Linked DNA regions of Canis lupus familiaris. The protein of the gene in region 1 binds, or shares a complex with, the protein of each later gene. Links are inferred from orthologs where the notes say so. Each region holds a gene or a part of one and is shown on either strand. Other genes may lie near its edges. The genes, in order: PSME4 and PSMB10.

What was found.
Region 2: PSME4 (region 1) and PSMB10 share a complex: the UniProt entries of both Homo sapiens proteins name them as parts of the spermatoproteasome. The link is inferred for Canis lupus familiaris from reciprocal best matches to the Homo sapiens genes PSME4 and PSMB10.

The regions. Positions count from the first base shown.
Region 1 is NC_049231.1:56,139,704-56,142,304, reverse strand, and holds part of PSME4 (proteasome activator complex subunit 4), read left to right. Parts: intron 1-881; coding exon 882-1,015; intron 1,016-1,879; coding exon 1,880-2,014; 3' UTR 2,015-2,018; intron 2,019-2,561; 3' UTR 2,562-2,601. UniProt on the Homo sapiens protein: Associated component of the proteasome that specifically recognizes acetylated histones and promotes ATP- and ubiquitin-independent degradation of core histones during spermatogenesis and DNA damage response.
Region 2 is NC_049226.1:82,145,224-82,149,815, forward strand, and holds PSMB10 (proteasome subunit beta type-10), read left to right. Parts: upstream 1-1,699; 5' UTR 1,700-1,839; coding exon 1,840-1,895; intron 1,896-2,122; coding exon 2,123-2,210; intron 2,211-2,292; coding exon 2,293-2,390; intron 2,391-2,512; coding exon 2,513-2,653; intron 2,654-2,876; coding exon 2,877-2,992; intron 2,993-3,087; coding exon 3,088-3,146; intron 3,147-3,786; coding exon 3,787-3,938; intron 3,939-4,060; coding exon 4,061-4,172; 3' UTR 4,173-4,231; downstream 4,232-4,592. UniProt on the Homo sapiens protein: The proteasome is a multicatalytic proteinase complex which is characterized by its ability to cleave peptides with Arg, Phe, Tyr, Leu, and Glu adjacent to the leaving group at neutral or slightly basic pH.

The DNA.
Region 1 (2,601 bases):
GGTTGAGCATCTGCCTTTGTCTCAGGTTGGGATCCCAGGGTCCTGGGATTGAGTCCTGCATCAGGTTCCCCATAGAGAGCCTGCTTCTCCCTCTATGTCTCTGTGTCTCTCATGAATAAAGAAATAAAATCTTTAAAAAGAGAGCAAGAGACTGTTTTAGGATCAGGAATTGTACTTTTGCATAAGATATGAATTGATCAAAACTATCATTATGTAAGTTCTAGCAAATAGGTGACACATTTCTGACCTGTCATATGATGTGTCATTGAGGGTCAGCTATAGGATGTCTTTAGTTCAGCCTCAAAATCATGTTTTTGGTGTGTGTGTATACAGATGCATTTTTATTTTTTTTTAAGATTTATTTATTCATGAGAGAGAGAGAGAGGCAGAGACATAGGCAGAGGGAAAAGCAGGCTCTACACAGGAGCCCGATGTGGGACTCGATCCCAGATCCTGGGATCACAACCTGAGCCGAAGGCAGCCACCCAACTGCTGAGCCACCCAGGCATCCCCAGATGCATTTTTTTTTTTTTTTGTTTTTGTTTTTTTTTTTTTTATGATAGTCACAGAGAGAGAGAGAGAGAGGCAGAGACACAGGCAGAGGAAGAAGCAGACTCCATACACCGGGAGCCCGATGTGGGATTTGATCCTGGGTCTCCAGGATCGTGCCCTGGGCCAAAGGCAGGCGCCAAACCGCTGCGCCACCCAGGGATCCCCCCAGATGCATTTTTAATGCAGAAATTCACACTTTGGAAACAATTAGATTAATCAAAAACTAGTTCTATTTTACCATAACATGTGCCAGAGAGTCCTATAAATATTCGCACATTTATTGGCGGAGTTTTTTTTTTTTTTTTTTTTTTTTTTGCTCTGTTTTTCAGAGTTGGTCAAACGTCATGCGGGGGTGCTAGGACTTGGTGCATGTGTTCTTTCTAGTCCCTATGATGTTCCCACCTGGATGCCCCAGCTCCTTATGAATCTCAGTGCACATCTGAATGATCCGCAGCCTATTGAGGTAAAATTCTTCCGTATTAGTTTCTATGCCTACGTATTTTATCAGTGATGTTTTGTAAGAAATCATTTTACTGGTAGTTTCCTGTCACTCTGGACCTTCTGCTTTGATAGAGCTGCTGCCGCTCCTGCCTCTGCTGGGGCTAAGCCTACTCAAGTAATTAGTAACATCTTGTGGAGGGAGGCCTTGTTTTCATGTATATTTGAGATCTTTTGGTAGCAAGGAAATACTAAAGCTTCTGTCTCTCCCAGTCCAGTAGAAGTAAAATATGTCAGTGTTGTCAGGATAGTTCATCTTCTTTGGTTTTACTAACATTTTATATCTAGGAAGTGTCTAACGGGGAGCTAATACTAAAAAGGAAATTGTGATGGTATTATTTTGAGAACAGCTGTGTCTAAATGACTGACGAGACCAATGGCTTTGTGCTTCTCGCTTTGGTAAAGAGCTATAGGTGTGTCTTGAAACTCGTTTCATAATGCGGTGTAAGGGCCAGTAGCCTCTCCCCGAGTGCAGCTAGTCACTTTAAAGAGGTGGCCCGGGTGGCCCAGCAATTTAGCGCAGCCTTCAGCCCATGGTGTGATCCTGGAGACCCGGGATCGAGTCCCACGTCAGGCTCCCTGCATGGAGCCTGCTTCTCCCTCTGCCTATGTCTCTGCCTCCCTTTCTCTCTGTCTCTCATGAATAAATAAATAAAATCTTTTTTTAAAAAAATGAGCTTTGGGAAGTTACAGTTGGCTTGTTGGTTTTGCAGCACTCGGTGAGATCTGAAGTCTGGAGGGATTTTTACTTGGCTGAAGTTATCCTCCTGAGTATAATCCTAGTCTTTGAGAGGTTAAAGTAAAATGTGTGTGGGTTGCTCCTCTACAGATGACTGTAAAGAAGACCTTATCCAATTTCCGAAGGACGCACCATGACAACTGGCAAGAACACAAACAGCAGTTCACAGATGACCAGCTGCTCGTTCTCACCGATCTCCTTGTGTCACCGTGCTATTATGCATAGAAGGGTAAGTCAGCAATATTCGGGGTTTCAGGAAGTCTGACATCCTTGGCAGATGTCATGGGTTTGATGATTGAGAAGTGACTGCTCATAAGTTTTCTTTTTGCTTACATTCTCAGCTGTCCTCCTTATTTAGACAATTAAAAAAATTTTTTTTAATGCGACCTATGCTATGACCAGTGGAAGTAAGTTCCCTGAGAACTTTTCCCTGCTTCTCTGCTTCAGGTATCAAGCAGAGAATTGAAGTGACTGCTTTTGGACGTTTATAAACGAGTAGGCTTAGTATCCTGCAAGTGGTTAAAAGAAATTTTCTTTGTTGCCTGCTGAGTGGGGCCTAAGCGTTTTGGGTCGCCCAGAAAACCCTAGGTCCTATACAGTCATGAGAACATTTCATCTGAATTCTTAAGTATTTATTTTCCATCCCGAATTAAAGAGGAAAACCCAGAAACCTTTCCGCTAGGTTAAGAAAAATAAAGTAAATTTCACTTATTGGGCTTTAGAGTTGGATGTCCTGTTGTCTGACTGAAATTTTTTTCCCTCCCTGATACAGATGAGTAGTCCTCACTTCAAGCTCTTTTCATCAAAAATTC
Region 2 (4,592 bases), on another chromosome or scaffold:
GAGGCACTAGAGTCCATATAGCAGGCCTCACTGAGCAGTAGCCATAGGCCTGGTGCTTTGTGGAATATAAGGGCAGGATGGACTTCGGTGAAGCCTGGGCTTGAACTGGGAACCCTGAGATGTCTAGCTTCCCACTCTCCTGGTTGAGCTGTTGATGTAGCCTGCCTCTGCTTGGGGGATGGGGGACTAGAGGTAGCTGCACAAACAGCTGTGGGATGGAGGCATTTGGAGCCAAAGTGCAGAGCAGGGAAGATGTGAGCTGTCCTGCCCACTCTCAAAAGGGCAAGTGGATTCCACCTCTAGACAGGGTCTTTTTTTTTTTTTTTTTTTTTAAGGTTTATTTATGAGGGGGCAGTGGAGGGCAAAGAAGATCTCAAGCAGACTCCCCACTGAGCTCAGAGCCCACCGCAGGGCTCGATCCCACAAACCATGAGCCAAAATCACAAGTCAGATGCTCACCTGAGCCACCCAGGAGCCCCCCTAGACAGGGCCTTTTGAGGGCTAAGTGGATATCAGAAGCACAAGAGTTTTTAGAATCTGAGGGAGAAACAGCCCCTAATCAGATCATTTCTCTAATGATGGTGTAATTAAGGGAACTAAGTGGTCTGAGAGAAAAGTTTAGGGAGCACCAAAGGGCTGAGTCTTGGGGGGTCAGGGAAGGCTGCCCAGAGGGGATGGTGCCTATTCTGAGATCAGACGGGATGAGAAAGGTCATGTGGGCCGCTATAACTTGGGTTTTTTTTTTTTTTTTTAAGATTTATTTATTTATTCATGATAGACATAGAGAAAGAGAGAGAGAGAGAGAGGCAGAGACACAGGAGGAGGGAGAAGCAGGTTCCATGCCGGGAGCCTGACGTGGGACTCGATCCCAGGACTCCAGGATTGCGCCCTGGACCAAAGGCAGGCACTAAACCGCTGAGCCACCCAGGGATCCCCTATAACTTCGGTTTGAACCTAAGAACAATAATGCAGTTGCTGAGGGGGTTAACCAGATTTTCAATCTAGGAGACCCTTCTCTGGAAGGTAAAGCTAGCCCGAGGCAGGGACTGAGGAGCGGGAAGCTTGGGGAAGCCAGGAAAGGCAGTGCGGTATCCAGAGGGGACAGGATGCTCGCGGAGACTAACGCGGTAGTTAGGAGAAAGCTGCCAATAGATAAAGGGTCATTTGGGAGGTGAAATAAGGCTTGGCCATGGGTAGAGCCCAGCATGCCTCCAAGCCACGAGATGGGCAGCCCCACAGCACCCCTCTTGTGAGAGGGAAGATAGCACCCGAGACACGGAAGGTCACCATGTGTCACCACGGTGGATAGAGCCTTGGTGTTTCAGATTTCAGGGAGGAGGCAAAGGCAACAAAAGAGCTGAGGGAGAAAGGGCGCCATAGGACAAAAGGCAGCCATGCCTGATGCTGTCGGGAGGCCAGGACTAGACACCTGGCCAGTGTGACAGCCTCAGGATTGAGGGACTTGAAGTCAGAGCTGGGATCGGGATCCTCAAAGCTAGGGCTCAGGCTGGAAGGCGGAGGAGCTGCTAACATCCCCCGACCCAGGCCTGACCCAGATGGAGCTGTCTGTCCCTCTGTACAGACTGAGGACTAGGGAGCAGGATGGAAAGCCAAGCGAGGACATCTCCCCTTTGACAAGCTGCCTGGGACCAGAGGCAAAGGTGAAAGTGAAAGAAGATGCAGAAAGGGGCCAGCCAAGCTCAGGAAAGGTGAAAGCGAAACCAGGAAGCCCCGGACCAGCCAGGCGGGTGCGGGACAGAGGACCCGGCTTGGGCCTTTCTTGCTCCCCGCTGGTCGCACAGAGACCCCCAACCCCTGGACCACCCTGCCCACCTGGAGATGCTGAAGCTGGCGTCAGAGCCCCAACGGGGCTTCTCCTTCGAGAACTGCCAGAGGTGATGGGGGTGATGGTCTAGAGCTGAGCTGCTATGCTCTCCCCGAAGGCCTCGGGCACCGACACTCCAGGGCCTTTATTCCCGGTGGGGGCGGAGGGGCGGCAGGGTGTGCTGGGCGACTTGGGTTGCCAGGCTCCCGCCGCTAGACGCGGGCGAGGCTGGGACGTAGTTGGAGGATGTGATGCGGCCCCAGAACCCCAACCTGGGCCACTCCACTCCGTTTCCAGAAACGCATCCTTAGAACGCGTCCTCCCGGGGTTCCGGATCCCTCGTGCACACAAGACCGGAACCACCATCGCGGGCCTCGTGTTCCGAGTGAGCAGGGACTTGGGCCTGGGGGCTTGGAGGGGCTGCTGGGGGATCCAAAGCCACTGGGCCAGCGACCCTCTCCCACCAGGATGGAGTCATCCTGGGCGCGGATACGCGGGCCACTAACGACTCGGTCGTGATGGATAAGAACTGCGAGAAGATCCACTTCATCGCCCCCAAAATCTAGTGAGAAATCCCCAACCCCGACCCCCTACTCAAGACCAACCCTGCCGCCGGCCCCCCCGCCCCCCGCCCCCGGCCCCTGCTTCTCCGGGCCCCACCCACACCGAGCCTCCACTCGTTCTCAGCTGCTGTGGGGCTGGAGTAGCCGCGGACGCCGAGATGACCACGCGGATGGCGGCGTCCAACATGGAGCTACACTCCCTGTCCACGGGCCGCGAGCCCCGCGTGACCACGGTCACGCGCCTTCTGCGCCAGACCCTCTTCCGGTGCTGGGGCCGGGCTCAGGCGGCCCCGGGGACGGGCGCGGCCGGGGGGCGGGACTGAGGGGAGCTGGGCCGGGCGGGGGCGGGGCGGCCAGAGCCGGGACCGGAAGGGGCCGCCCCAGGAGGAGCCGGGCGGCCGGAAGGAGCGGCGCTGCCCCGGTCGCCAGCACAGGAAGGGGCGGGGCCCGGGCCCGGAGGCGGGGCTGACCACGCCCACTCCCCCCAGGTACCGGGGCCACGTGGGCGCGTCGCTGCTGGTGGGCGGCGTAGACTTCTCGGGACCGCAGCTCTACAGCGTGCACCCGCACGGCTCCTACAGCCGGCTGCCCTTCACCGCCCTGGGTGAGCGCTTCTCCCCTTTCCCTGCGGCCCTGGCCTCGCGTTCGTCCCGCGACTGGGTGGCCACGACCGACCTCAGATGCCCCTCCTGCCCGCAGGTTCCGGCCAGGACGCCGCGCTGGCGGTCCTGGAGGATCGGTTCCAGCCGAACATGACGGTGAGCAACACCTGTCCCCCACGACGTGTTCACTGACGGGAAGCGCACGCGGGAGTTGGGGTAACACACAGGGATCCTAGTAGAGGTCAGGGAGGGCTTCTTGGAGGAGGTGACGATTGAGTGGAGGCCGAGGGGCCAGTGGAATCAGAATGAAGTAGTGCTATTCCAGGAGACGATCATCAGCGCCAGAGTTTGAACTGCCCGGAGAAGTCAAAGCTCAGGACCATGTGAAGCTGAGGGAGGAGGGAACGGCAAGTGGGGTCTGGAGTCCCGATTCTGTTTGAGGTGGGATGGAAGTGAATGACAGGTGTTGCTTCAGAGGCGCCTAAGGCCCGGAAGTGAAAGAGCAGTGAGCTGGTAGTTTGGGGACCGAGACGCATTGGTTGGGGGGACAATCCTGGAAGCAGAACCGTAAGTGTAAGAGAAGTTTGTGAACATGGGACAGTGAGACAGTCTCTGGAGAGAACGAGGCAGAGGCCAGGGCAAGGGAGTCTGGGCTGGCTGGGGGAATAGGGAATAGGGGTCTGGGTAGGAGCAAATGGTAAATAGTCTGGGCTTTGAGATGAGCAGAAACCTGTAGGCTGTAGGCTGAAGGGCGCCAGCAGGGTCCGGCAGGTCTCCCCCACACGTATCGTCACAGCTAGAGGCTGCGCAGGAGCTGCTAGTGGAAGCCATCACTGCTGGGATCCTGGGTGACCTCGGCTCCGGCGGCAGTGTGGATGCATGTGTGATAACGGGGACCGGCGCCAAACTTCTGAGAACATTAAGCTCCCCCACAAAGCCCACAGAAAGGTGGGAACTTGGGAAATGGGGAGACCACTGGGGAGGATGGGGCAGTAGCAGGGCAAATGGGGGACTGCAAGATGGACTATATGATGGGCCCAAATTGAGAGGCTGTCCTTCCCTTCTCCCAGACCCAGCCAGTACTACTTTGCCCCTGGGACAACAGCAGTCCAGTCCCAGACAGTGAAGCCACTGACCCTGGAGCTGCTGGAGGAAACTGTGCAGGCAATGGAGGTGGAGTGAAGTGGGATGATGCTTAGGGCTTGGAACAAGGAGGAATAAACATAGAAAATAGAAAAACACCTAAGCAGATGGCTGTGTCGTTCCTGGGTGGAGAGGGGACAAGCAGCCATCAGGACTCTGGCTAATGTACACCTGCAGGTGCCACTCCCTGCCGTGGCTCCAGTGCCTGGCCTAACAGGTGGCTTCACCCATCACCTCAGGCATCTACTCCTCCGGAACCCCAGCCCTAGCAAGCACGGCAGCTACAGGAGGGGAGCCCCCTGCCGACTCCACACTGCAGAGGTCCCCTGCTGCTCCAGTGCCTTGCTCTTGCCCTCTAGTCCACCTGGGAATGTTGTGAAGTCCAGAAGGCCCCCTGCACTGCCCCCGCCTTGAGTCTTTACCTGGCTCATCAGCGTCCCACAGCAAACCCCACACCCC